Linked DNA regions of Mus musculus. The protein of the gene in region 4 purifies or fractionates together with the protein of the main gene of each other region. This does not show direct contact. Links are inferred from orthologs where the notes say so. Each region holds a gene or a part of one and is shown on either strand. Other genes may lie near its edges.

Region 1 (7,838 bases), on a different chromosome or scaffold from region 4:
AAGAGAAGAGAAGAGAAGAGAAGAGAAGAGAAGAGAAGAGAAGAGAAGAGATCCCAACTGGTCAACCCTAAACACATGTACATAAGAGCACCATTAAATGGATTCAGTAATGTATGTGTATGTGTCTGTGCATGCATGAATTTGAATTTTTGGAAACTGTGTTATCAACTTTGGAAAAAACTACCCCAGTTTGCAATGTTGAGTTGGCATTGCACAGAAACTAACAGCCATACTGATTTAGAAATGTTAAATTTGGTTTTTTTCTTTAACATTTGTATACTGTATTAAATATATAAGGTCTTATCTGTGTGGATTTGATTACAAAAGCTAATAGAATATTCTCTAGCAGAAAAACTTAGTAAGATTAAAAGACGGGGCTGGTGAGATGGCTCAGTGGGTAAGACCACCCGACTGCTCTTCCGAAGGTCCAGAGTTCAAATCCCAGCAACCACATGGTGGCTCACAACTATCTGTAACAAGATCTGACGCCCTCTTCTGGTGTGTAAGTACATGTAATAAATAAATCTTTAAAAAAAAAAAAACCTGTCTCAAAAAACCAAAAAATAAATAAATAAATAAATAAATAAATAAGATTAAAAGACCACTGAAAAACACTCACTAATGACAGTGTGCATTGTATGTGAATAGAATGAGGTATTTTTGATGTTCATGTGTTTGGAACAATCCTTAGTCATGTTACATTGTCCATAAATCAAGAAGGTCACCTACTTTCCTTTGGCATAAAGATTTCCACAATATCATGATGACTCACTGTCAGCGTGGGTAATAAAGTTTTCAAAAGGAAGCAAACAAACTGACGGGACATATGTCAACAAGGACAAATTCCAAAAAAAATATAACAATGAGAGGAAAAACAAGTTGTAGAAGGTGATGTAGAATACAATGTCTTATTTTAAACTAAAATAACGTGTAAAAATGTTTTGTTTTAGTGACATTTATATATATATATAACAAAAGTAGAAAATAATCTTTAAAAGTCGTGTATGCTGAAGTATTGTCTCACTATGCAGATCAAATAGGCTTCAAACTTGCTATCCTCCTGCCTCAGCTTCCCTAGAACTGGGATTTTAGGCATGCCTCCCACTGCACCATACTTCAAACATCCTTTTAAGTAGACAGTGTCTTGAATGTGGTACTTACTGTATCTGCTGGTATCTATTCACTTTTAGAAAGATAAACTTGGCAGGTTGTATCCCCAGGACCTGGGAAGTAGAGGGAGGACTGGGGGAGTTTAAAGTGGTCTTCATCTACTTGGGGAGTTTGAGACTGGCCCGGGCTACATAAGACCTTGTCTCAAAAAAACAAAACAAAACAAAACCACCATTCATTTCTACAACACACCCTCATGCCTAGCACTTGGAGATCATTATAGAAGAGGGAGTAGGAAGACTGTAAGAGCCAGAGGGTCAGGGAGTTTGCTGTGAGATTGTCTCGCCTAGGACTGCCTGGGGTGCCTAAACTCTATACAAAGAACAACAGCAACTAAGAGATTCTGAGAGTGGGAGAAACAGCATTCCCCAGAGAAGAGCATATCAACTATATCCAATATCCAATACCAAATGGTCAGCCCTGAAAACATATACATACAAGTAACATTATACAGACCGAGAGGGTTAGATTTAGGAAGATATATGTATATACATATATGTGAATATACATGTAACAACAATGAATTTCAAAAGAGGCCATAAATTTAAGTGAGAGCAAGGAATAATATATGTGAGGGTTTGAAAGTGGGAAAAGGAAGGGGAAATAATGTAAAAGAGAAAAAAGGAGAAATTATATTATCTCCAAAGGAAAAACTATTTAAAATTTAAATAAATAGTTCTGGCTAATAATCTCATAACAGGAAAAAGTTTTCCTGATAAGGATTTTGTTGATTTCCTTTTACCTGTGGATCTCCTTAATGATTAAGCAGTTTTATTTTGAACATATTTTTAATTTTCAAATAAGTAGCACTTGGGAGATAGTGGCAGGAGTTCAAGGTCAACTTTTGCTACATAGAGAGTTTGAGGCCAGCTTGAGCCACGAGGGAACCTAAATTGAAATTTTTAATGACTTCTCAAAGATAAGCCTGTGTCCAGAGATGTTAAAATCTTCCTATGGAGCTAAAGAGTCGGCTCAGCATTTAAGAGCACTTGCTGCCCCTGCAGAGAACCAGAGTTCAATTCCCAGCACTCACATGGCAGCTCACAACTGTTGGTAACTGCAGATCCCAGGAATCTGATGCCCTTTCTCTGACCTTGGTGCATACCAGGCATACACAGGAAAAACTCTTATATGTATAAAATAATAAATAAATCTAAAATAAAATAAAATAAACCTACTTCTCACAGCCAGGACGTGCTTCTTTGCCTTAATCTATTATCTGACAATCAGATGTTACTAACTGGGATTCTTCCCGATTTAAAGGTTTCTCCTGATAGTACATGTTAAACAATATTTATAACCTATCTTGATGTCTAAGGATGGCCTATCATTGGATCTCTGTGAGTTATTAGATAATAATCATCATTTTAAGACAAAGTCTCATTTACCCAGACTGACCTCAAATTAGCTATGTTGCTGAGCGTGACCTTGAACTTGTGACCTTGTTGCCTCTACCTCCAGAGTGCTGAGATTATAGGTATGTGCCACCATGTCCGATTTTGTGCAGTGATGGGGACTGAATCCAGTCTTTCATGCATGCTAGGCAAGCACTCTACCAACTGTGCTAAATCCCCAGCCCTACATTACAGTCATCTTAATCGTATGCTTATTAAGAGGAAAATCTGGCCATTAACCATAGAAACTACCAGGTCTGGTTACTGTCTCCATGATTTGAGCAGTTATACCTGTTGGGCCACTTACATCTGAACTTACAGGTTTCGGTTTAGAAGGGAAAGGGGGAAGTTTTCTACATTTGTTTTAAAATCGCTAGTATACTAATGAATTAAAACAAATGAAGTCAGACAGGGCACACACACATCACCAAAGTGGTAGATAAAAGTTAGATAGCCACTAGATCCCAGTTTTGACTACCCTTCCCAGTTCAGGGTGACTTTAAATGTTAATTGTTACCTGTACCAAGAGTAATGGGCCATTCTAACTTGTTATGTTAAAAGGGCTGTGTTTTATTTCTCTGGGCTGAGTACCTTTGGTTCTTTTTAAATTATATGTTCTTCAAGAAAGCATCAGTTATCACACTAGAAAGATCCCCTCTCCAATTCCTGGGAAAACCTCAACCAATTTTCATACACCCTTTTCTTTTATCACACTTGATGTATTACTGTCCACAAATTAATCCCGGCCAGATGTACAGCACAACTATTTGGTGCATTGCCTCGGACACTTTAGTAAATTTATTATGCTCAGCAGTATTCTGAGGTCCTTGTAATAGTTTCTTTCAGAACACCAACTTCCTTATCACCCCGTGCAACTCAACTGCTTAGCAACTGTGGCAGAACTATCTTCTTATCACAGAATTCTACAGGAACAAACAGCCATGCTAAATTCTATGAATACTAATCATGTTCAGAAATCCTCAATTCGAAAGGTGAACCAAGTGGCTAAAATTATGCTCATAAACATAGGAGCATCTATGTATACCCCAGCAGTATAAAACAGTCTTGAGTGCCAGAAAGAAGGAAAGAAAGAAAGAAAGAAAGAAAGAAAGAAAGAAAGAAAGAAAGAAAGCGGGCCTCACAAAGGCAGAGAAAGATATGATAAGTGAACCATAAAACCGTCAGTACTTCCTAGGAACTACATTTTAAAGCATTTGCTCACCACTGTAAATATTCCATTGTTGCTAATAACTTTCACACTATTGCTTTTTAAGTATAGGTTCACATTTAGGGCTTGATATTAACAATATGATCCCCATTTACTGCTGGTAACATCAACCGACAGACAAAGGGCTTCCCAAGCAATTTCTCCAAGCCTCGAGGAAAGCACAAAACAGCACCTGCAGTGAATCACTCCTCCCTCCTTTCCAGGTACGGGGCAGACAGACAGAAGCTATGACACCGTCTGTTTCGTAACTCCACGTCAAAGTCAAGTGACAATAAGATGACAAACTACAGCTGTAGACTTCTGAATCCACCCCTGGACCCAAATGGGGAACTTACTTTGAACTTGATCAATGTTCCTATCTTGTAGCCCTGAGTCCCTGTTCTACAATTGGGCTTTAAGGTTTTCCAGTTCTATACTAATAATCAGAAATACATTAGTGAACAAATCTATGTAGCAGATATGTACATATCACAAGTATAAAGGACAACATGTAGCTGTAGGCCCAGAGCCTACAGACACACATGTACACACCCTTCAAGTTCAAATCCCAACAAGGCACCCCGAGAGTGTAGTCAACAAAGGGAGGGGCAGGAGCAAGGAACAGAGGTTAAAGCAAACAGCAGCCAAAACAAACATCACTTTCGGAACAGGGCAAACTTTGGGTCTGGGAGATTGTAGAACCCCCAGATATGATAGGGGTGTCAGACTTTCTCAAGAGACGAAGAGCACAGCCAAGCACTAGGCTAGGAGCAGATGAGCTGCAGAGGAGGCTGGTGTCCCTGGGGACAAGGGCGTCGCCGCCATCCTCGGCAAGAGAGCACCCCCCTTTTTTTTTTTTTTTTTTTTTTTTTTTTTTTGCGGTCCTGGCCACCGCCCTCCAGATCTCCGGGAATAGTCCCTGGGAATAGTCGTTGTTGCCCCATTCTTCCCATAGACACTGCCCCCACAGACCAGAGAGGGATAAAAGAGCGCAGAGACATACCTGGTGCAATGTCTCTGGTGGCAGCTGCGACGCTCGAAACAGATCAGCTACTGGACCAGCGGCCGCAGTGGCAGTGCCGGGGGCGACCCTGGTAGCCTCGGGGGGACCAGGTCCGGGGCCCCCGCTTGCAGCGCCCGCACAGCGCGCGAAGAGCTCAGAGTAGCACTGCTGCTCGCTATCGCTCAGCAGCAAAGGCGGCCCGGCGCCGCAGCCTCCGCCCGCTGCCACTTCCATAGGGCCTTCTGTAGCGTCCGAACCGACCGCCTTCCCTGGCCGAGGTGCTGGTGCTGCCGCCAGGGCCACCACCGCCGCCTCGGCCTCCGAAGCCGCCGCCCCCACGCCCCGCAGCTGCAGCGCCGCCGCTTCCTCCAAGAGAGCGCCGGCCCCGCCCCCTCCGGGCTTGAATGTTGTGCCTCCTCTGCGCGGCACATGGAGACAGGCGCGGCGCTGACCAATCACAGCCCGAAATCCCACCTGGGCCCCTCCCCGAAAGCCCGCCCCGCTCCGCCCCTTCGCCAGGTAAGGAACGCAACTCTGGCTGCCGCCCTCCCAAGCCTTTCACCTGCTCTGCAAGGGAGGCCAGGCAGAGAGAGCTGCTGCCAACGCCCACCTAGCCCACCGTGTTCCTGAGGGGCATCTTGGGCTCTCCACCCTGGCTAAGAAGGGAACATCTGGACACACACACAAGAAAAAGAGTTTTTCAGGGGATGGGGAAAACTGAGATGTTGTCTCATTAGGAGTCCCATAGGGATGTGGTGTCCAATTAGAAAAAGGACCAGTCACAAAAAGTTGGATTTCCCTTCCTCCTATGTCCTGAAAAGCTAAAAAAAAAAAAAAAAAAAAACAACCAAACAAACAAAAACAAAGATGTGAATGGGGTCCCAGCAGCACCCCAGAGATGATGGGGTTTGGCCACTTTCTCAGGTATGGCTGGGATCTGGATTTGAACCTTACTGAGAAGTGCCAGAAGGTATTTCTTGAAGAAGGTACTTCAGAAGGTCCTTGAGAAAGAAGTGGGAAGAGGCGTTTTGGGGTTTTGTTTGTTTGTTTGTTTTTCAGATATGAGGTCCATTATGCTCCACTGCTTGACTGAAATCTGGGAAACAGTTGGTGAGAGACACTATCTGGAAAATTTATGCTTCTTAAGTCCTGAAAGTACTGACCTCTGTAACACAGAGTCCTCACTTTCTGGAAGGATTTTTTTATTTTCTTATTTTTTTTTTTTTAGACAAGGTCTTTTCTTAAGACATCTGGCTCAGAAAACACTTCTTTTGGCAGGAAAACAACAGTTTTTTACATTTTGTCCAAAATTTATTTGTCCAAGTTCCTACCAAAAAAGTCAACACTGGAACTCAGAACTTTAAAACCCAGTGTGCGTGTGCGTGTGCGTGTGCGTGTGTGTGTGTGTGTGTGTGTGTGTGTGTGTGTGTGTGTGTGTTCAAATGGGCTTCTTCCCTGATGGCTATTGCTCTAGCCAAAAGTGTGGTGGTTCTTGTTTGTAACCTTAACACTAGGAGGCTGGGGCAGGGGAATGACCAAAATTTTGAATCTACTCTAGCTACACTGTGAATTACAAGCTAGCCTGCAAAAAAAAGGGGGGGGGATCCACAAATAATATACTAGAAGAAAAACGTCTGCCCCACAACAGTGTTGAAAATGTCAGTTATAAGTCTTGTATATTTGCATTTTTTCCAAAAGAAAAATCTGTTTTTTATTTTTTAGGGCAGGGTCTCTCTACATAGCCCTGGCTGTCCTAGAACTCTCTGTGGCCTCAAACCATGCTGACCTCAAACTCATGGAGATCTGCCTGTTTCTGCCTCCCGAGTGCTGGGATAAAAGACATGTGCCACCACACTGGGTTCCAAAAGAAAAATCTTAAGTGCCATTGTTCTTGAGAAGAGTTGCACAAATGTAACCATTGTACATGCATGCCTCATGCCAAAACACTAACCAAAAAGGGGAAACCTCTTTGTGATTAAACACTAATTAAAGGACCTGTTAGACCTAGACCTGGTGTCACATACCTTTGTAAACCCAGAACTCACGATGCAGAGGCCAAAGGATCTCTGTGAGTTTGAGACCAGCCTGGGCTACTGAGTCTCATGCCAGCCAGGGCTACATAGTGATAAAAGAGGGATAAAAGAATATGTGTGTATTAAGAATATATATATATTCCATCCCAAACAGTTTTTTATTAAAAGCGTGAAGCAGTCAGATGTAGCAAATACCTGTAATCCTGCCACTCCAGAGACAGAGACCACTCCAGAGAAGACCCATTGCAAGAACAGTAACAACACAAAAAAGCAAAAGCCGAAAACAAGTCAAAAATACTATCAAGGATAACAAGCACACTTTGATATTATAGTCAACTAAAATAAGGACCAATGGAAGGAAGAGAAAAGAATGAAGAAGTCAAAAGATGGAAAAGCAGACAAGGAAAAGGGAAGAAAGAGATGTACAAAAGAAAAAAGAAACGTGTCAACCTCAATTATAGCCAGAGTTATACTTCCCTTTTGGACTCTGGAGAAATAAAATATAGACGATTCATGGTGGAGGTATGACTCAGTAGCACAGCATTTGCTCAGCATGTGCCAAACACAAGTCTGTCCTCCAGTACCAGAGAAGAAAAAGTAAAGATTCAGCCCAAGCATGTTAGCAGCTAAGTGCACGTGAACGTGTAGACAAGCTCCGATGCACTGTCTGGTTTTTTTTTTCTGCTTGTAAAATTTCATAAGACTTTAGCAAGAACGTTGAACAAAGCCAGAGGCATTCTTGTTATCTTTATAATGCAAACTGATCAAGTCCAAAAGAGTTGCCTGTTTTTTGTAGCTTTCTGAACACTGGCTAAATGACCATAAGCTAAGTACAACCAGAAATGTGTGTCTTCTCCTTGAACTAGCACCTTAAACTGAGCATGCTCAGAAATGTGCCTGCCCATAAAGGGTTTTCATATATGTATGTGTGTCCACTCCTGGAATAAAATCCCCATGCTTCCTTTGTTCACTAAGGTACTGTTTCGGACATAACTCATCTTACCCAGTAAAGTTATTAACATTTCAGCACT
Region 2 (7,171 bases), on a different chromosome or scaffold from region 4:
CGAGACAATCTCTCTAGAGAGCCTAAGCTAACTTAAGAACTGAACCTCCTGCCTGTCGCCAAAGTGCTGGAATTAAAGGCATGTGACAACACTCGACTGCCCATTCATCCAGCTTAAGCATTATTGCAATGGGGAGCTGCCAGTCTTGGTGTTAAAGTTTAAAAAAGCTATCAGCATGCCTGAGGTTATAGATTAGTTGGTAAAATGCTTGTCTACCCTGAGGCTTTGTGTTTGATCCCCGGTACCTCATAAAACTGGGTGCGGTGCATGCCAATAACTCCAACATTCAGGAGGCAGGGATAGAATGATCAAGAATTCAAGGTTGCTGGACTTAGATGGAACCAGCCTTTAATCCCGGCACTCAGGAGGCAGAAAAAGGCAGATCTCTGAGTTCAAGGCCACCCTGATCTACAGAATTCCAGGACAACTAGGGTTAAAGAGAAAAACCTAAGGAGAAAAAAAAAAAAAAATCAAGGTCACCCCACTGCTACAAAATGAGTTCCAGGCCATTCTGGGGCCATTTGAAACCTTGTTTCAATTCTCTGGTCTCAGTAAGCTACTGAGTACTCAATTCTCTGGTCTCAGTAAGCTACTGAGTACACCCATATGTGTATAATACATTTAGGAGACTAGGGCAGGCAATTTGGGAGTTCGAGGCCATTCTGGACTGTACTAACTTCCGCATAAACAAAACAGCAATTGAACCTCTAGATCTAATAACCAGTTTACAGTAAATTCAGGCCAGGGGCTGGAGAAAGGACTCTGAGAAGTGCTTGTTCTGTTCTCAGCATTAAGACCTGAGTTTGATCCCTTGTACCCAAGTAAAGTCAGATGTATCTGTAAGTCACTGTGGTCTATTTTCTGTATAAAATGTACTTAGGCGCTTCCAGTTTACTTTAGAGTTGAGACATTAGTAGCTATGCAACTGAGCCAATGTATCAGGAAATCAGAGAGGGTTCTCCAGCCCCAGGAGGATACAGGGTTTGGGGTGGAGACAATGGTAGAAAAACAACGGGAAAGACTGAAACTCTCTGGAATATCAGGGGAAAAAAGGGCAGGATTTTTTTTTTTTTTAAATATAGATCAGAGACTCTAAAAACATTGGTTGTGCCAAATCATAGGGCCAGCCAGGCCTTTCTGCCTGTTTCCCAGGCTGCTTTATGTTAGTTATTCTGTCTCCAGTCCTGAGACGTGAGGCACATCTTTACTCCCACACCCTAAACCCCAGTGCTGGTAGGCAAGGTAAGATCACCAGGACTTAGGAGCTGGTCCGCTGAGCAAAATCATTTTTCCAGGGCCAGTGAGATACTGTCTTGAAACTAGAGGCAGTTGAAGAATACACTCAACACGAACATCTGACCTCTATCTGTACACACACACACACACACACACACACACACACACACCATTGAAACCTAGAGGCTGGAGACAGATGGTTCAGCAGTTAAGAACACTTGCTGCTCTTTCAAGGGATTGGTGTGTGGTTCTCAGCATTCAAATGACTGCTCACAACTCTCTGCAACTCCACTTCCAGGGGAACCCGATGCCCCTGTGGCATTGGGGAGTTCTCTGCATACATGTGATGCAGGTAAATCCCTCAGGCATTAAATGAAGATAAAATTAACCAAACACGGTTCTTCTGGCAGGCCATACGGCAGGCATCAAGATGGCACACGCTGCTAAGGCTGTTTCCTACACTTTTACAAAGTTCTTTTGTAGTTCAGGTTCCCCTCCAGACTCTTGCTCTGAGGCCATCCTGAAGAAGATGCTCTGTCCTCACTTTCCGGTTCCCCTTATGAAAATGAACCTTGGAAATACCTGGATTCACAATACCAGAACAGCTATGGCTCTCGCCCTGCTTGGGCTGACTACTGCTGCAACCACAAACGCTTGCCGCCAGTGCTGCTGGGAATCCTTGCCCCATCTGCCGGCATCACAAGTTTCACGTTGACTTTAGGATGTGAAGCTCTTGAAGAGTTTGTGCCCACACTGGTATCATCTTCCATGCCTCATACACAGGGGGTCTGTATGAAGCGGCACAAGACGCTGACCCAGGCCATCCAGAAAGCCAGGGAGTGTGGTCTTCTCAGTTGCTACCTTCTCCAGGTTGAGACCCGAGATGCTGACTTTCCTACTATACATCGAACTGTCAGTGTGACTCCATCAGCCACCACCCCACCCCACCCCCACACTGCTGTCAGGTGAACCTTGGTACCCGTGGTACAGCTGGCAACAGCCACGGAGAGAGAACTGACTCTATCAAGGAAATCTCCTAGAAGAAAGTGCCCCCCCCCCCACCTGAGTCAATGCCTGAGATGCTCAAGACACCACCAGCAGAAGCCTCCACCGAGGAGACCGACCTGGGAAGTCAGACTAAGGGAGTGCAGTCTAGGGCTATGTGGTGTCATGTGTTCTGCAAAGGGTTGTTTTGTGACAGTGGCAGACCCTAAAGGGAATTGACTGGTATGAAGAGGCCAAGCACATTTGAAGTTGAAGAGGGACTAGATGTATATGGGTAACTTTGGAGAGGGCTTACATATGAACTGGAGACTCTTGTGTGTGTGCTAGATCGTGTATCCCTATTTTAAACTCTCTGGCTCAGCTTTTATACAATAACGCTGTGCCTCCTCAAAAGGAAAATAAAACACCAAACCAAGCCAGTCCCCCCTCACCACCCCCCAAAAAAAAGCACAATTAGGGGCTGGAGAAATAGCTCAGTGGTTACGAGCATGCACTTTTCTTACAGAGAACCAAGTCTAGTTCTTAGCACCTACATCAGGTAACTATGAGTTGCCTATAATCCCAGATGCAGGGGATCTGACATCATGGCTGGATCCCGATGCAATCACATTGAGTCCTTTGCGTTAACACATACTAGCGTTGGCCATGAATTGACTGATGTTGAAGCTGGTGACAGGACATGGGGATTAGCTATATTCTTTTTTTTTTTTTTTAAGATTTATTTGTTTTATGTATATGAGTACACCATAGCTGTCTTCAGACACTCCAGAAGAGGGCGTCAGATCACATTGCAGATGGTTGTGAGCCACCATGTGGGTGCTGGGAATTGAACTCAGGACCTCTGGAAGAGCAGTCAGTGCTCTTAACCACTGAGCCATCTCTCCAGCCTCGATTAGCTATATTCTTATGCTTTAAATTTACTCTAGTTTTTGTTTGTTTGTTTAAAAAAGCTGAAACCTCATAAGGTCCAACTGGTGAGGGCAACCCTATTCTTTATTTATTCTAACATACAAGATCTTTGGGACAATCAATCCCCTTAGGAACTCTGGAAGAATGGAGGTTTTTGCCAGGGTTTGATAAGATGCATGGGGAAAATATCTTTCCTGCAAGAACTAATACAAGATCTTGGAGAGATGGCTCAGCAGTTAAAGAGCACTGACTGTTCTTCCAGAGGTCCTGAGTTCATTTTCCAGCAGCCACATAGTGGCTCACAACCACCTCTAAAGGGATCTGATGCCCTCTTTTGGTGTGTCTGAAAACAGCTACAGTGTACTGATATAAATCCTTAAAAAAACAAAACAAAACAAAACTAATACAAATCTTGCCTCTTTGTACTAACTGGGAAACCTGCACACTTACAACACTGCACTTGAGAGATGGAGGCGGGAGGACCCTGAGTCCAGCCACCTCAGCTCACACAATGAAACCCATCTCAAAGCACATATCTGCAGTATCAGCACTTGAGAAGCAGAGGCACAGGGATCACCTAAAATTTACGGGCAGTCTGGTCTACATAGTGATTTCTAGGTCAGCCAGAGCTACAAGCAGCAAGACCCAAACAAAACAAAGTCTGGCATGGTGGTGTACACTTTAATCTCAGCACTCAGGAAGTAGATCTCCTGAGCCTACACACAGGTTCCAGGACAGCCAGAACTGCATGGAGTAATAATAGTCCCGTCAGACCCTCTGCGGGCCCCATTAACATTTAGCCAGCAACTCCACTCTATTGTTTATTGGGTTTGTAACTGGACAAAGTCACACGTGTACAAAACGAAGCTCATACTATCCCAAAGCAGAGTGGGGACTAAAGACTGGGGATCTGTTACTGGCCTTTGGGGAAGCTCTGAGGTGAGGGGTAGTCAACCTTCCCACTGCAGAGGTGTGGCCACAGGGGTAGAGAGAAGAGGAGAGCACCTGGCTTTGGTCACAAAACTCAGGGCCTGGCGCTAAGCCAGGACAGACAGACGGAAGAGAAGCCTCAAAAACCACCCTCCCAGGAAGCCAGGCACTACCTGACCAGTTCCACTGTGGTGTGGCTGGTTCAGACTTATACTCAGGGGCTATTGGAAAGGAAAGGCAGCAGAGCAGGACGGAGGAACGACACTGGTGAGTGGTCACTAGGGGTACTTGGACCTGTGGGAAGGGTGGGTAGGGAGGTGGGCCAGCTGCAACTAGGCAGCTAGCAGCGGGTTTCATAAATGCCACTGCGGCCAATGTATCGCACCCATTTGATGACATCATGGTCGCTGTAGTTCAGCTTCGGTTCGAATACCTTCAAGTAGCGCACCTTGAGGCCAGAAGGCGCGAATGGCACCTGAGCAGAGGACAGCTCCAGTTAGGAATATGGCCCTTCTATCACAGTACTCTGGCAAATTCCATGGTTCACCCACCCTATCTACCACAGGTGTTCTTGAATGACTGGTGTGGAGGGAATTCACTAGGAGACTACCACGTGAAGAGAGTTACTAGGAATCAGGACACATCTGAAGCTGAGCCCAGTTGTGAGGATAAAACTATTGCTCTAATCCTTAGGTTGCCAGAGCACTATCTCTGAACTACTTATCCCAGAGAACTACCACTGAACATACTTATCCCTGCCAATGCTGTGGACTTGAAAATAAAGTGGAGAAAATGATGTGTCTTATTCACACAAAGCAAATGTTTCTCAAAAACTATTTTGTGACAAATCAAATAGTCAAAAGCTTTTGGTCAGTTTAAACACCAATTTCTATTAAAAGGGGATGGGTCTATCAATTCAAGACATTTCCCAACCTAGGCCCAGTTCTCTTATTCCTAAGAAGTAGAGTCTAATCAAAATGATCAGAGAGTCTCCCATCACACCCAGCCATTGCGCTATACCCCTCCTCTGCCTACCTCAAAGTTCATGGAAATGGGGGGCCGAGCCCATTTCTTCTTATCGTTGGTGGGCAGGAGCTCAATCTCTGCGCTGATCTGGGATTCCTTCATGCCTGCCATGCGCTTGATCCTAGGAACACAGAGGGAATGGGCAGCAGGAGGCTGCAGTAGTTACTCCTTCAGTACCCGGAGCTGCAGTTTCTCCCTCACCCAGACTGTACGCTTTAGACACAAGTCGACAAGGGCCAACGGGAATATCTTGAAAACTAGACACACGTGCTCCTCAAGTGCATGAGAGATGGAGCACACACACACACACACACACACACACACAAACACACACACACACACACAGGCTCCTGGACAAGCATGCACTCTTTTCTCACCCTATAACCCACACAGAGGACAGGTCAAACTTAACCGGAAGGTACACTATGACGCCTTGAGCCTGCCTGTGGCCTCCTGAAGACTCACTTCCATACAATGGCGTTCTCGCTGGCCTTGTACTTGGCCTTCCCCTTCATGCAGATCACCTGTACCCCGCTTGTGTTCAATGGAGTCGGGATCCTCACCTAGGAGTGACACACCCGTCAGTGAGCTCTGGGGAGACCTGGATCATCTATCTGCCTTTTCTTCCCCGAGATAGGTGTTTCACTCTCCAAGTCTCCAGTCCTCACCTCAATCTTCTGGGCCAGAAGTGAGGGCTTGAAGTTGGACTTGATGACCACCTTGACCTCCAGTTTGGTGCGCCCCACCTCCCGCACCAATGGGATCACCCGGAAAGGAAGGATGATGTCCTTGGTAGTACGGTATCTTTGGAGGAGAGAACACATGTGATAGCACAGGGCCAGCCCTACTCTCTTCCAGATGCACCCCCTGCCTCCTCCACACCCCCATGGCACCTCATGAGTTCAAACTCTCCGTCGGGAGGGATGAAGCTGATGCTCCGCTCAGAGTCAAACTTGCTGAGTCGCACACACTGGTGGAAGGTGCAGTCATCAATGGCGATCGACTGCTTACCACTGTAAACGGAAGCAGAGCTCAAATAGGTACATGTCAGATTAACAGACCATGCCAGAGCAGGCTAGCCACACAGATTATGGGAAGCTTCCAGAACACAGCTTTCTGACTTGGAAATCCCTGCCCTGCAGTTTGAGGTGTGGGAGAGCCTCTGGGTTCCTTATCACCTGAGAACTTTGTTGCTGGGGATCAAACAAAAAAAGCGTGCTCTCCAAGGACAAAGACAGTCCCTCCATGCCTTATCGTCAATCACAAGACTAACTGGCCAAGGATGACTTGGAAAGACAGTTAACAATTCCAGAAATGAACTCCAAAGGGAATCTGGGTTCACTAGGCCTCACTGGATTCTCAAAGGCTTGCTCATCCTTGTGTCCCTTGAGCTCCCAGACACCGGTACCTCTTGCTTGTTTCATCAGCTGTGCCTTTGCCCTGCTTTTCTATGACAATCTTGTCATTCATTCCAAACTTGCACTCAGGCATGCCACTCAGGTAACTCTTCATCACCACCCGGCCTGACACATGGGCACTCAGCACCTGCCCTGGTGACAGAACAGAGAAACAGGGAGCAGCTGAGCCACGCCGACAGGCCAGGACCTACCCACCCCCAATCCCCGGTCTCATCATGAGAAGACACTTACCCTGTGGGGACATAAGCAGGTTCACACTCTCCAGAACATCTAGGAAGAGTTCATTCCGGCGATACTTGATGCCTTCTCGCCGCCAGCCAATCTGCCCGGTCACCTGGCTGGTGATCTGGGACTGTTCTTCCTTCGTCTATATGGGATAAAGGTGGCCAATGACCTCATCCCTTTCCCCGTCCCATTACCCTCTGCCCACTGTATCACGTCACTCTCCCTCCTTCCTCACAACCCTTACAGGGCAGGATCTGCAGAACAGAGTGAAGCTGCAGTGGGAGAAGTGAGGGAACAACTTACCTGATGCTAGAAGCCGCAGAGCCAGCAAGGGGCCAACACAACAGGAAGCAGCATGGTAAGCAAACAAAGGGAGAAAGCGATAAGGCTCAAGTCTGAGAGGAGAGCCCACGTGCTTTTCT
Region 3 (7,905 bases), on a different chromosome or scaffold from region 4:
TGTTTATTTCCCACTCTTAAAAAAAAATGCCATTTATAATCAGTAGCCTGCCTCTACTGCTGATTGAATGGGTAAAATTGGATAGTCACTCAAAACATCTCTGATCCTACTGAAGACTAGCTCTAACTCCTCCCCCATATGATGGACAGGCCAAGAGAAGAGGCCTGTTACAAAGTCACACACTCTCTCCCCACAGGCAATGGCTTCCTCTTACTCTAGAGATTCTGAGGAAACAGACCAAAGGATCCACACTTTTTAAATTGGGATTCGCAGTAGGAATGAACCGGCTCTACCAGAGCAGACCGGAGAGCTCACTGGAGCTCACTGGAGCCTTGTACATCACTTTGGGACCAGTACAGGCCTGTGAGAAAGATCAGAATCCAGGAAGAGCAGGACCACATTCTGTGAGGGAGAGCACCCCCAAATGTCATTTATCACTGGCAATTTCTTACAAGAGTAAACACTCAATTACCACATAACCCAGCAACTCTAATCCTGGGTATTTACCCAAATGAGCTGAAATCTTTTGTCTAGACAAATGGATGTGAATGCTTAAGGCAGATTTATTCACAACCGCTGGAACTTGCAAACAACTAAGATGCCCTTCAGTAGATAAATGGTCACAACCAAGCCCTAAAAAGAAACAAGCCACAAAAAAATAAATACTGTAGAGGGTCATTGGATAAGGTACCTGTTGTGTAAGCTTGAAGACCGGGTTCTCAGAACCCAAGGAAAATCCATCAAAACCTCGGTGGGCCTAGCATCCACTTGTAATCTCAGCCCTCGGAAGGTGGAAACAGAGAAACCCCTGAGCAAACTGGCCTGGCCAGCTGGCTAGACTAACCTAATCTGCAGGCTGTGGGGTCACGTGAGAGAGACCCTATCTCAATAAAGAAGAGACAAATCAAAGAACACAATCCCAGGCTTCCATAGATACGTATGCATGCCTGGTGTGAGCGTGTGCATGGGCGGGCACACATGCATACACACGCAAAAGAAAGAGGATGGGGAATCCTTCCATTCATTCTATCGAGTGTGTGACAGGGCAAACCTTTCCACACCCACAGGACATCCCCACTACAGTGAGGGAGGGCTCAGCAATGTCCAGGTCTTATGGGAGAGATGGCTCAGTAGTTAAGAGCACTGGCTGCTCTTCCAGAGGTCCTGAGTTCAATTCCCAGCAACCACATGGTGGCTCACAACCCTCTGTAATGGGATCCAATGCCCTCTTCTGGTGTGTCTCAAGAGAGTAACCATGTACTCACATATGTAAAACAAATAAATCTTTATTAAAAAAGGGGGGGGGCAGTGGTGGCACACGCCTTTAATCCCAGCACTTGGGAGGCAGAGGCAGGCGGATTTCTGAGTTCAAGGCCAGCTTGGTCTACAGAGTGAGTTCCAGGACAGGCAGGGCTACACAGAGAAACCCTGTCTTGAAAAACAAAAACAAAAACAAAACAACAACAAAAAAGAATATCCAACTCCAACAGTGAGCCCTAACGTAAACCACAGACTATGGGTACACGTGGGACCCTCAATTCTTAACAACTGCCCCACTCTGTTGCTCCGGAGGCTGGTGGTGGAGGGAGTTGTGCCTACAGAGGGTATAGGAAGCAGGTGGCAGAAACTATGCCGGTCTTTACCGTAAACCTCAACCGACTGGGGAAAATAGCCTACTCTTCAAGGGGGTCTCCACTACCCCACCCCATCAAGGTACAACTGAAAGTCAACAGGCCGTCCTTGTCGTATCTAAGTACAGCCTTCATCACCTTTACTGTACATCGTCAGGAAAATGATTGTCACAATTAGAAGCGCAAGAGCATAGAAAGCAAGAAATGGCTTGCCGTTACTCCCCTTCGTGTCAAATTAACTAAAACTCTGGAAACCTGCAGAGGCCTGCATGAGCTACCTAACCCTTGTCAGAGTCTTCCCAGTCAGGTGTGTCAGGCAGCGCACGGCTGGACGCTGGAGTGGACTCTCCTGGCTTAAGCCAATTCAGAGGGGGGACCCTGCCCCCAAATCTACATCTCAGGTGAACAGCTACATCTCAGGTGAACAGCCTCCTCAATCTCTTTCCTGCCCCTGACAATTAGCCCCTTAAACCCCTGCCAAGAGTGAGGTACTCAGGTGGGCCATGTGCTCTTTTATCTCCTTGAATACATTAGGGGAGAGAGAGAGAGAGAGAGAGAGAGAGAGAGAGAGAGAGAGAGGGAGAGGGAGAGGGAGAGGGAGACGGAGAGAGGGAGAGAGGGAGAGAGGGAGAGAGAAAGAAAGAAAACGAACTTTGAGGCCTGCCCCACACTTGCAAGTGGTCAGCTTGAATGACTTAACAACTTTACTGGCTAGGACTACAGAACAACTTCCTAGCACCATGGCTCTGACTGTAAGTTAGTGGTCGGTCACTGAGAGTGAGAGCCAAAGAACCAAAGCTTCCCCCACCTCATCCACTGTTAAGTACTCAGGAGGTGTCTGGCTTTGCTTGCCACTGACGAACATGCTTGTCCCTGCAAGGCCAGTTTGTCCCTGCAAGGCCAGTGTGTCTGTGTACAAGTAACAGACCTGCTTATGGGTCAGCAGGTCAAACAGATAACCTTTCATTGTGTTTCCTGTCTCCACACAAACAGCAGCCTGACCTGCTGCTCGGGCAAACAAGAGGCCAGAGAGGTGGTACCCCCTCCTCCTGTAAGTTCTGCTCCCTTCCGTGGTTCCAGCTCTGCAAGCGACCAACGCTGTCCTTTACGGCACATTTTAAATAGCGTTCCTGTGCATCAGATTTTAAATAAACAACAACCTCCAACTGTCCTGTCCCTCTGTTCTTCAACAGCAACTCTGCAGAGTCCTTTCTTAGCCCAGAAAAGGCTTACATGGTTACCTCCACAAACGGCTTTCCTTTACTATCAAAAGGCCAATCCAGTAACTTGCTGCCTGGAGATGTACTCGCATAGAACGGGACTGGTTAAGAGCAAGTAAGATGCTTTTCTGCAAGACCAACTGCTATTTAGGTTGCAAATCACACTGCCTCTCTAGTGGAGACTGAGACCGGCTAGCTACACAAACCAAGGCAGCCATATAGAAGCCACAGGGCACACACACACACACATATCACTTTTTCTTGGCACAAGGGCAGCTTAAATTTGTCCCGTTCTCGTCTCCAGGATATGATCCCTGACCCACCACCAAATCTCTTTTTCTCCACTGGAAGGGTTTCATCTAATCAGCTGTGTGCAAGCGGCTCTGGCAATTTATCCTCCTTGATTCCTTGACATTTTCTTTCCGTGCTGCTGGCTGGGAAACTGTTTTGATCTGAATAGGGTTGTCTGTGGGGGATTCTGCATGTTAATGATGTAGAGTTGGCAAGGATGGGAGGTGAGAGCACAACGCGTACTTTTTCTAGTTACGTTTCGCCTCATCACCGCTACGGGGGCCTTTCCACTCGGCTACACCAGGAGGCTGATCTCAGACTAATCTTACCCTCTTCCAGGGGAGCCTCGAGGGGCCAGGTAGAAACAGAACAGATGGCCTGTGTTCCCGTCAAGTACCTAGACTCACAGGCAAGTACTCCTAAGACTCTCGAACCAATGAAGGAGACGCACGTACATCCTTGCTCAGCCAGGCAGTCCCAGCGGCCACCCTCCATCCTGGTTTCAAGCTCCAACCCTGTCCCAGCCAGCGCCAGACGTTACACTCCCCACTACTCTGTACCCGCCCACCCTCCGGGCCCAAAAGGACAGTGATTCCGAACGGGGTGCTGGTGTAGCCTCAGTGCCCGCCCTTCCCTTTCCATCCTGGCCAGAAAACTCCACTTCCCGGATTCCGGGCCACTCTCTCCCTCCCCCAGCGCCGGCGATCCAGCAAAGCGCCGTCCTCCTGCCAACTGGGGACCCAGCCCAGTGGCACACCCCGTCTCCCCAACTAACCCCTGGACAGACCCCAGCTTCGTCCACTCACGGGGGCTCCGGAGAGGGTGTCCCTCTATTCGGAGCCTTCAGGCACCCTAGGGTTGAGAAAGTCCCACCCCGCCCCCCCCCCAGCCACGCCGCCAGCCTCTAGCCCTGGCTCGGAGGGACCTCCACCCTAGGCGACGAGGGGACGTTGGGGAGTCTCCCTAGGCACCTCCAACACCTCAAGGGAGGGAGGGCGCTCGTGGCCCCAAGGCCCGCTCTCTGTGCCCGCAGGCCCGCAACCCCGCACGGGGGCGCGCACTCGGGGGTCCCCCCTGGTCCGCGGGGTGCACTCACGATGGTCACGCTGGCTTTGCGCAGGTCGCGGTTCTCCTCCTGCAGCGCCTTGCACTTGAGTTTGTAGGTCTCCAGCTCTATCTTGAGCACCTTGTTCTCCTGCTGCAGCGAGGCCAGGCGGTTGGTGAGCTCCTCCAGGCGGAACGGCGAGATGACAATGCCCCCCGACTTCCCGCCGCCGCCCCCGCCGCTGCCGCCCGAGGTCGCCGAGCAGGACGACTGCATGGCTGCCGGGCCGCCGCCCGCCGCGTCCGTGTCGCTCTCGCTCGCGCTGTCCGCCATGGCTGGGCGAGTGGGCGCGGGGAGCCGGGCGCCGAGGGCCGGGCGCGCGGCGAGTGGGCGCGCGGCGAGTGGGCGCGGGGCCGGGCGCGCGGCGGCGGCGGGGGAGCTGGGGAGCGGGGGAGCTCAGAGCGCGGCGCGGGCGGGCGGCAGGGCGCAGACGCGCGGCGGCGGCGGCGGAGAAAGAGAGGGCGCTTCCCGCGGCCGCGCGAGCTGCTCCGCCAGGGAACAGAGACCCCGCCCGGACTCGGGCAGTACTGCAGCGCCGGGACTCTGGCGCGCTCCGCGGGGCCGTCCCCGCAAAGCCCCAGCCCCAGCGCTCTCCTAGCAGCTGCACACAGACGCTCGAGCCCCCGCCGCCTCCCCGCGCACGTGCTCCCGCCCCGGAGGGTCCCCTGCGTCCCCGGGCCCCAGCCCCCCAACACACACACATACACCGCCGCGCCGCGCCGCCTCTTCCGGAGAAAGGCGGACCCCACGCAGCGCCAGCCCCGCAGGTGCCGGGACACGTGGGAGGGGCAGCCGGGCTCCTTGGGCCACCCCACCCTCCCACCCCCGCTCAGCTGGAGCCTGGCACCTTGGATCGGCGCCGGCGCGCGTGGATCTCCCCCAGGGTGCCCCGTGCAGACCGCGCTTGGGGCTGGGAACAGAAAGTTGCACTGCAGTGGGTCGAAAAAGAAGAGTATCTGTGTGTCTGTCTGTGTGTCTGTGTATCTATTTCTCTCCCTCTCTGTGTGTCTGTCTGTGTTGTGGCATGTCGGCAGCCACAGGTTAGCCTAGCTTGCCACAAGGCCCCGGTGCGTCCAGTTGTTTGAACCAGGCGCCACCCACCTTTTTCTCTTTACCTCCTGCAAAGACTCTGCACCGGTCACGGGGATAGGATTAAGAAACCAAGATTTGTCTAGTTAAAGAAACGGGAGCTTTATTTAATTTTTTTTTTTTTTTAATCTCAGAAGGGTTGAAACAAACTTCAAGTACCAATTTTCCAAAGTAACTGCAGGCACAATGCTAAACAAATAACCACGATTAAGTGAGGGGAACTGTATAACCATTATTATCCGCTGCTCTCCAACTCCTACAAAACTCCAGGAGCTAAAAAATAAAACCGTAATTACTACTGTAGAGAGCCCAGCTTCAAAGAATCAGAAATTCAAATACTGTTAGGCCCCTCCCTCTTAGGAGAGCTTGCTTGTAGGAAACAGGCCTAGCAGGTGAGAAGGGTCTAAACACTTCACCTCCTGATACAAAACAGCTTTCGTTTCTGGGGGAAAAAATGGAAAGTGAAACTAACCAGGCGGGCTTTATTATCCAAGTTTAGTCGACGGAAGAACAAACTCATGGAAACAAAATGCAAAATAAAGGGGTGCGGGATGAAAAGTGTTTTCTGGCTGTCAACTGTTTTATAGTTTTATAAAGCGCTTAGCCATGACTACATGGCTTTCCTGGCTCATAACCTTGTCTTTAAACCAAATTGGATCCAGTGGTTAGACATGTTTCGTCCCCACTGCTAAATAGGAACTGGTCTCACCTCGGAATAACTCTTAACCTGCCAGGGGTGAAACCTTGACCTCAGGTTTACCAAGATGGCTGCCTCTAGTCAACAACCCAGACATGCTAACTTCGGTGAGCCCTCCCACCCCCCAAGACGTCTCCTAGGTAGGCTTGAGTTTAGAGCTAGGAACACAGTCGGTGAAGCAAAATGTAACAATAAAAGTTAAAAATCCAGGGGAGTGCAGGAGAGCCTTTGGCTTTGCTCTCCAGCAGCAGAGCACCAGTGTAAATAATCCTCTGCTGAGGGAGCCACTTTGTCACTGAAGTTTACTTGGCTCCTTGACTTTTGCCATGTTGGGTCTGGGACAGGAGACACTCGGCTCCTTCGGTTACAGGACGCTTCTGGAAAAGCAGCTCGCGGGGTGAGATGGATGGGGTAAGGGGAGCACTGCCCGGGACTGGGGTTTAACTGCATTCTTTCCGCTTTATTCAGGGCAGTCTGGGGTGGGCGTGGCTTCCATACTTCACAAGTTTCTATTGTTCTTTTCTCACCCCACCTCCAGATTGCGGGGTTTGGAGGGCTTACAGCCCTTGGAGCATTCTCTCGGGAGTGAGGGGTGGGGACTAGCTCTCTCCGGTTTATCCCTAAAACTTACTGCCTTGGGAAGCCGACCTGCAGGCTTCCAGTCGGCAGAGGGGTGGAGTTTGAAGTGCCTGGTTTTCTTAAAGGGCCCGTGTCAGGCTAAGCTTGAGAACATCTTGGTCTTCCTTAGGGGAACTACAGTTTTGGCATGGTATCTGTAGTTAATCATCGGCTTGAGAAGATATTAGGAGAAAATTCTCATCTTCTCAAGCTTCCCTGCTGATACAGATGAGAATAAATTGGAGGATTCTTCTCCCCCATCCTGGTTTTTATTGTTACTGCAGAACAGAAGCTTACCTAATTTTCTACTTCTTGTAGAACTGATTCCCCTCATAAACAGACGATTTGTCACGACGCTGGTTCTGTAATAGCATTACAATGGAAACACCAGATACAAAACAGATCGGATCATTGTAAAAAACTCCTCAGCGTTCCAGGGGAAATGAATCAGAAGGTAGGTGGAAGGCTGAGTCCCCTGCAGGAAGAAGGGGCAAGGGAAGATGAGCGCCTCCCGTTGCAGAAATAATGAAATCACCATCACCCTGAGCTTAAGTCACCAGGTTTATGGATAAAGGAAAGGGTGCCTTGCAGTTGAGGCTCGAGGGGACATCTAAATCTTTGTTTCTCAAATACAAACATGTTGTATTTTTATGTGCTGGGTACCCTTTAAACCTAATGTTCTCAGTGCAAACATAAAAATAGTGGTGTAAATCCTAGTATATTTTTGTTGCTTAATTGTAATGATTGTGTATGTATGTCTCTCTTTCTATATATATGTGTGTGTGTATGTATGTATATATGTATGTATACACACACACAACATACACAAATACACATATGTATGTATATACACACACGGTGATCACCATACACCACTGGAGTCTTAAACAGGCTTGAGGTGAACCAGATGTAGGCTGGCCAGAGGTGGAAAGTATCCCATGAAGCAGTGCATTCAAGAAAGATAGTTCACACCATTTAGCCTGTGTCTGGCCCCTGGGTCTGGAAGGGGGATCTGGACATTGTCTACTTCAACCCTTGAGGCTAGAGAGGTTTGGGGTGTTTTTGTTTTTGTTTTGTTTCTGTCAGAGTGAGCTGTAGTGCACCTGCCTCTGTCCTGCCTGCTCCATGCCAACCAAAAACTGTCTCCAAACATTGCCAAGACTGCCTTCCCCCAACCCCACACCCACCACAAAAACAGCTGTTCTACTAGAGATAGAAGAAACCCAAAATGATAGAAGTGTTGCTGTAAAGGAC
Region 4 (6,711 bases):
GTGATAGGATCAAAGTATGTTATATATGAAATCCCATAAAAATAAGATATATTTACTATGTAAAAAGATATTTAATACTAATTAACAATCAAGAAAAGACACCCAATGTCAGCCTCTGGCCTCCACACACCATACATACAGTAATAGACTTACCTACAATAGACATACAACAGACATACAGTAACACACAAAATAAACTGTTGATGCAGTCTTGCCTGTGCCCTGGCGCTTCATGACAATATGCAGATTATGTCCTCAGGAAACGTCTATGCCTTAAAGCCCTACACTAGGGATTAAATCTAATAAACCTTCCTTTTTGAAATGAGGATTTTTGTTTTGTCAATGAGAAATGAAGCCCTACAGGATAAAATTGCTTACTGGGGGTGAAGCATGCAAGCTATGTATTTCCTGTGCCTCCCTGAAAGCCGTTTCTCACAGTTGAGAAGCCCAAGCCCCAACACTACCAGACACCCAGGGCCCCTTCGCCTGAAGTACATACACACCTGAAGAGAGGCAGGAGCCTGCACCTTGCTGAAGACATCACCAGAGGACATGGTACTGAGCAGACGTGAAGCAGTTTTAAAAATTAACTACAGCTCACTGCAAATGAAGCTATTCCTCTTTCCTCTGTCAAACTAGAACAACTTTTCATGGGTCGTACTAATTGAATGGTGGCAAAACTCCAGATTAGAGGGGACAAGCATCCAGGCTGGAATTGGGCAGTGGGGGACGTGGACACAGCAGCAGCACCTTACTGCTCTGCAGAGGGAGCCTGTATATGGGAATTTAAGGACCCTGCTACTTGGTCCTTACTTCCTGGGTCTCCTGAAGTCCAGTATAGAACCATTTACTAATTATGCATCATCTTACAAATGTGTAATCTTATCACAATCTCTCTACCTAGTTGATAGGGGTCTTTGATTTGTTTCTACTGAAGAATATCAACTAAGCTTAGATCATACTCAGACGAATAAAACATTAGCAAAACGACCTGGAGGAAGGTTCCAGAAAGCCCAGTCTTCAGCTGGATTCACCAGCCAGGGTATATATTGTGTGTGTGTGTGTGCGTGTGTGTGTGTGTGTCACCAGCCAGGGTATATATTGTGTGTGTGTGTGTGTGTGTGTGTGTGATATTGTGTGTGTGTGTGTGATATTGTGTGTGTGTGTGTGTGTGTGTGTGTGTGTCACCAGCCAGGGTATATATTGTGTGTGTGTGTGTGTGTGTGTGTGTGTCACCAGCCAGGGTATATATATTGTGTGTGTGTGTGTGTGTGTGTGTGTGTGTGTGTGTGTGTCACCAGCCAGGGTATATATTGTGTGTGTGTGTGTGTCACCAGCCAGGGTATATATTGTGTGTGTGTGTGTGTGTGTGTGTGTGTGTCACCAGCCAGGGTATATTGTGTGTGTGTGTGTGTGTGTGTGTGTGTGTGTGTGTGTCACCAGCCAGGGTATATATTGTGTGTGTGTGTGCGTGTGTGTGTGTGTGTCACCAGCCAGGGTATATATTGTGTGTGTGTGTGTGTGTGTGTGTGTGTGTGTGTGTGTGTGTGTGTACAGGCCTGCATGAGCACACATGGCATGTGAAATGAGAAAGCTGATATCTGTGTCCTCTATCACTATGCTTTACTTTTGGAGACAGGGCTGGCCTCTGAACGCAGAGCACACTGACTCCCCTAGAGCAGCTAACTAGCATTTACAGGATCCTCATTTCCACCAGGGTAGAATTACAGGTGCTCCCAGCACTCCTGGCTCTGTACATAGACACCAGGGTCTATACCCAGGACTTCATGCCCGGTGTTGTTCAGTACAGAGCCGCCTACAGAGAAGAGCACGGTGAGAGCCATGAGTCCCCGCTTGGGAGCTGATCCTCTTCGGGCCCTCATTTCCAGATCCCTGCCTGAAGTTAAGATGTCACAGCAGGGTACCTGGAACCTTCTGTAAAGCAACATAAATTCTGTGGTGCAGTTAAACTACTAGCTACAGATTCAGATGTTTGTCATACATCTCTAGCATGCTAGCTGCTCTAAGTCCTCATTTCACATGTAAAATGCAAACCTCTGTAACCTCTAACAACTGGGCCAAGCCTTCTGGACTTGACCTAGAAGGCAGAGCTTGCTTTCCCAACAGCACCAGGAAACTGTCAGGTTCAGGAACTGCACACAGTCTGAGCAAACCCTCCCAGTCAGCAGCAAGCACGGTGGGCAGAGGGCCAAGAGACCACAGCAGGAGCACACACACAGCATGGGCGAGGAGCGAGGTGGAATAAGGCTTCCCACTCGCTCTCCACCTTGGGCATCTCCACCAGCTTCGTGCCAGATGCTGGCTATGCAATTATTTCAAAGAGAAGAGTGGACAATAGAAGCCTTTTTTTTTTTTTTTTCTCAAATGGCTGTTGAATTTATTTCCTTGATCAATAATGGTCCTGGCAAAAATTAGTTAACCAACATCGAGACATTTGTAATGAAATACTAATTTTAAAAACCCATGATACCTTGATAGAAATTAGAGTTTACACAAACAAAAAGAATTCTTCAATATTGCCAGCAAATATAAAGTGGATGTTGTACACCGGACGGGATGCAGCAAGGCGTTTGTACATTTATATTTGACACCTGACCATATTTCCAGTCACCATAATATCTTCTCTCCAGATTTAAAAAAATAGTATGCTGATTTCTATAACAAAGCTTTTTTTCCGTACAAAAATCAAATAATGGCCAACAAGTCACAACAGTGCAATAGGCAGAGGCGAACAAAAAACCGCACAAAAGACAGGCGCTGAAATAAATACTAACTAGGAGGAGACCAGAGCCCTCCTGTGGGTTTGTCGCTCACTTTAGAGTGTGGGATTTGTCTTCAGAGCCACAGGGGACCTCCCTGGGGGCCACTCATCTGACAGTGAGATCTGGCTGCCTAAGAGGCAGGCCTCCCAGACTCGGGGAGCAGTCATCTGAGTTAGAAGCAAACACCAGGTGGGGTCAGTCACAGCTACCGGTTCGGCTCGGTTCTGTCAGAGTCCTTATAGCAGCCCCTTGAGATGACGCGGAAAGGTGAACGTTCTGCGTGAGAGCATTTACATGGCTTATCCTGGCAGAGGTGTGTATCCTAGCCCAAGCTAGCAGCTGAAGTCACTGTGGTTTTCTTGGAAGGTCAGTGTGGAGAAGGGCTCTGGTTTGAGAAGCTTCCTGTGCAACGCCTCAGAGTCAAGGTGGTCACCTCCGACCACCTCAGAGAAGAGGCCTTTGCTGATCCCTGGCAGTGAGTGAGTGGCTTGCACTGCCCAGGCTGGTGGCAGGCTGCACAGGTAACTTCTGTCTGCCACCAACCTGGGCCGTCCTGACTCACACAGACAGACCCAACTCGGAAGTGGAAAAGCAACGTGGTGCAGGGAACCCCAGCGAGAGCCTTTCTGGCCAGTCAGAGAATATGAGGCAGCTCCCCACTGAACAATCTGCACCAAAAGGTGTGGAAGGCACAAACAAGAGTGGCCAGAGACCCTGCAGGGCTGGGGAGACCACGAGCGTCCACGAGGCAGGCGCAGAAGTGACCTGATTTGGTTCCTACCCTTTGATAAGAAAGAGAGCCTGATTCTGCTGTGATTTAAAAAAAAAAAGCCAAAGAAAAGAATTTTTGGTTTAAAAAGAAGCCACTCAAAGGTTAAAATAGTTATTTTTAACAAAGAAAATTATTTTTCAAATAAGCTGACACTATCTGGAAATGCCTGTGTTCCCTGCAAGCCCCCCGTGTGTCCACTGCTTCAGCCTCCCAGGCCCTGAGCCTGACACGGAGTCAGACGTGTGTGAGAGGGGACGTCTCTGAGAGCGAGCCTTTACAGAGTGTCCAGCAGGCAGGCGGCTCACTCACACTCACAGTAAGATGCACAGGGCCCGGCCCGCAGCTCAGATGGGCGTCTCCTTCCGGTCTTTGCTGGGCGAGGCCTTCGCCTGCTCCTTGGCTACCCGCACCTCGAGGACACCGTCACAGGGCGGTGGGCCTATGCCCCCTCGCCTCTCGGGCTCCTCCTCCTCCTGCGGCTGCTGCTCAGACTTGGCTCGCTGCATCTGGAGCAGCCGGAGCTGCACTCGGAGCTCGATGATGGCCTCCCGCTCCTCATGGACTGCTTGGTTCAAGTGATTGTTCTTTATCTTAAAGAATGACAGAAAGGGCAGTTACCACTTAAGGGCACAAGGAATCTAGGCAGAGCACAGGCTGCAAGCCATCCTGAGAAAGATCTAGTTCTATTCTAGCCAGCCTGGCTGGTGCAGCATTAGATAAGAAGATGGATATGTGGCTAGGGTACAAGCATCACTCTGAATGCCTGAGTATGGACTCTGAGTTACAAAGAGAAACACATTTAGGAAACGATGTGTCACCAGAGCAGTGAGGACAGGGGCCAGGGCTGGGTAAAAGCTGAGACTCTTCCCAAGTCAAAGTCTCTCTTTACTGACCACATCTGAATTGTGCTCCTTGAGGAGTGTGGGAACCACAGCTGCTTAAATGCTGGGGACTCACTCATTCAGCAGGAACTCACGGGTAGCTCACCCCGAGCTCCTGCAACCGCCCCAGCCATCGGAACACCCTTCTTCCTCGGGATTTCCCCGCATCCTAAGCAGCTGTGCCCACAACTCGACTTTGGTTCAGTGAGGTGAGCAGAGGTGCCAGTCCCACTGCTCGCTCGGTGTGACACTGGGGAAGCCCTGACCCGTCCCTCCCCAACTGAGAACACGGCGAGATGCAGGGGAGCCGCTTTGGCTCGAGCAGGCCCTACGCCACGTGCACAACAGAACACTCCCGATTCTGCCATTTGTTCCTGTTCAGGAAAATGGAGATCAAACCAGGTTGCCAATGTGTCTTCTAAATGCCAGAATTCCCAGCAACCCGTCTCACTCACACTAACTTCCTTTCTTATGTTTTCCAAAACAAGGTCTCAACTCTGTAGACCAGGCTGGCCTCAAACTCAGAGCTCTGTGCGCCTCTGCCTCCTGAGTGCAGGGATCCCTTAAGGGGTACAGGTGCGTGTGTGACACAGGTGTGTGCACGTGAAGGGAGTTGGCTTTAACTCCGGGCCTCAGCCTCACTGCAGCCCCTTCACCAGTGGGGCCATGTCCCTGGATCCTATCACACAGTGGATAGCAGAGTCCTGGGCAATCCTTAAAATATTATTTTTATTTATGTCTGTGTGAGTGTGTTGAGTCCCTTAGAACCAGAGTTAGACAGTTAAGAGCTGCCATGTGGGTGCTAGGAAATGAACCTGGGTCTTCTGGAAGAACAGCCAGTGCTCCTAACTGCTCAGCCATCTTTCCAGCCACAGTAGTTTTTCTATCTTTCTGTTGTTTTTCAAGCCCCAACTGTCCTGGACTCACTCTGTAGACCAAACTGGCCTCCAACTCAGAAATGCCCCTCTTTGCCTCCTGAGCCACCGCGCCCAGCCTCTGTGCTTGACCCCATGCGCACTTGCCTGGCAGGCAGTTCAGTGAACATGAATGAAGCAAAGGTGTCTGTTTACCTAGTCGTCCTTACAGAAGACAATGTTTATTCAGGATGAAAAGAGAACCCCGCTTAGGCCAGCATCTCCCTCTCAGTCCAGCTTCCTAGGCATCCTGTCACACCCACTCCTCTGTGGTACCCCACAGACTACAAGAAAGCCACTGCAAGGCGACTTAGGACAGTGGCCAGGCGCCTCTCACCTCTTTTAGGCTCACTTGTAACCAAGGTCAGGGGAAAACGCCCCACTCCAGACAGCCTAGAGCACACATTTCATCCTGCTAACAATGCCCTTGAGGGCTGGAGAGATGGCTCAGCGGTTAAGAGCAGTGACTGCTCTTCCAGAGGTCCTGAGTTCAATTCTCAGCAACCACACGGTGGCTTGTGACCATCTGTAATGGGATCTGATGCCCTCTTGTGGTGTCTGAAGACTGCTGCAGTGTACTTCTCATATACATAAAATAAATCTAAATAAAGTAAATCTTAAAAAACAAGTGTTCTTGAATTCCTCTCCACCGTAAGTTTCCAGTGAGAAAATAGGTGGTTTGTGGTCCCAAGACCCTCTGGAGGCTGTCCCCCACTCACTTCTAACTCCTCGTTCTGCCGCTGCAGGTCCTCCAGGATGAGCTGCAGCTCCTCCTCGTCCTCGCTCTCACTCTCGCTGTCGGACGAGTACTCCTCCGTCTCACTGCGGCCATGCTGCTGACGGCTGTGTGGAGACGAGGCAGCACTACAGTGAACTCCGAGGCCGGCTAAGACCCACCCACGCCTGAGCATCGACCTGACCCAGTGCTGCCTAAGACCCAGTAAGGAGCTTAAAGTGACTGATTTCAGAAACCCAGTTCTTTCCAGGAATGTCTAAAACAGTGGTTCTCAACCTGTGGGTCACAAGCTCTATGGATGCCAAACAACCCTTTCCCAGGGGTCGCCTAAGGCCACCATCTGCATATCAGTATTTACCTTACAACTCATAATGGTAACAAAGTTACAGTTATGAAGTAGCAAGGAAACAATGTAATGGCTGGAGTCACCACAACAGGAGGGGCTGCTAACGGCTCCATGCACAAGGAAGATGAAAACCACTGAACTTTTAGCTCAGCTCTGCTCATATACAGCACAACCCGGCTGGAAGCTTCCAGTCCGAGGCCCCTGTACCTCTGGATCTCCGCAATTTCAGCTCGGAGGCGGTCGATCTCTTCTTTCTCTGAGGCGATCTGACGACGCAGG

The links.
Region 1: the proteins of Ralbp1 (region 4) and Reps2 purify together in Homo sapiens (affinity purification with mass spectrometry; 3 studies listed by BioGRID and IntAct, counting the BioPlex papers as one, with this or other methods). This does not show direct contact. The link is inferred for Mus musculus from reciprocal best matches to the Homo sapiens genes RALBP1 and REPS2.
Region 2: the proteins of Ralbp1 (region 4) and Ap2m1 purify together in Homo sapiens (affinity purification with mass spectrometry; 3 studies listed by BioGRID and IntAct, counting the BioPlex papers as one, with this or other methods). This does not show direct contact. The link is inferred for Mus musculus from reciprocal best matches to the Homo sapiens genes RALBP1 and AP2M1.
Region 3: the proteins of Ralbp1 (region 4) and Ccdc6 purify together in Homo sapiens (affinity purification with mass spectrometry; 3 studies listed by BioGRID and IntAct, counting the BioPlex papers as one, with this or other methods). This does not show direct contact. The link is inferred for Mus musculus from reciprocal best matches to the Homo sapiens genes RALBP1 and CCDC6.

What each region holds. Positions count from the first base shown.
Region 1 is NC_000086.7:162,638,500-162,646,337, forward strand, and holds the start of Reps2 (ralBP1-associated Eps domain-containing protein 2), read right to left. Parts: upstream 5,160-7,838; 5' UTR 5,009-5,159; coding exon 4,775-5,008; intron 1-4,774. UniProt on the Homo sapiens protein: Involved in ligand-dependent receptor mediated endocytosis of the EGF and insulin receptors as part of the Ral signaling pathway. By controlling growth factor receptors endocytosis may regulate cell survival.
Region 2 is NC_000082.6:20,540,695-20,547,865, reverse strand, and holds the end of Ap2m1 (AP-2 complex subunit mu), read right to left. Parts: intron 7,059-7,171; coding exon 7,053-7,058; intron 6,892-7,052; coding exon 6,756-6,891; intron 6,657-6,755; coding exon 6,515-6,656; intron 6,120-6,514; coding exon 6,000-6,119; intron 5,911-5,999; coding exon 5,775-5,910; intron 5,670-5,774; coding exon 5,572-5,669; intron 5,228-5,571; coding exon 5,116-5,227; intron 4,556-5,115; coding exon 4,421-4,555; 3' UTR 2,957-4,420; downstream 1-2,956.
Region 3 is NC_000076.6:70,093,915-70,101,819, reverse strand, and holds the start of Ccdc6 (coiled-coil domain-containing protein 6), read right to left. Parts: upstream 4,700-7,905; 5' UTR 4,521-4,699; coding exon 4,239-4,520; intron 1-4,238.
Region 4 is NC_000083.6:65,846,051-65,852,761, forward strand, and holds the end of Ralbp1 (ralA-binding protein 1), read right to left. Parts: coding exon 6,640-6,711; intron 6,194-6,639; coding exon 6,070-6,193; intron 4,146-6,069; coding exon 3,900-4,145; 3' UTR 2,365-3,899; downstream 1-2,364. UniProt on the Homo sapiens protein: Multifunctional protein that functions as a downstream effector of RALA and RALB. As a GTPase-activating protein/GAP can inactivate CDC42 and RAC1 by stimulating their GTPase activity.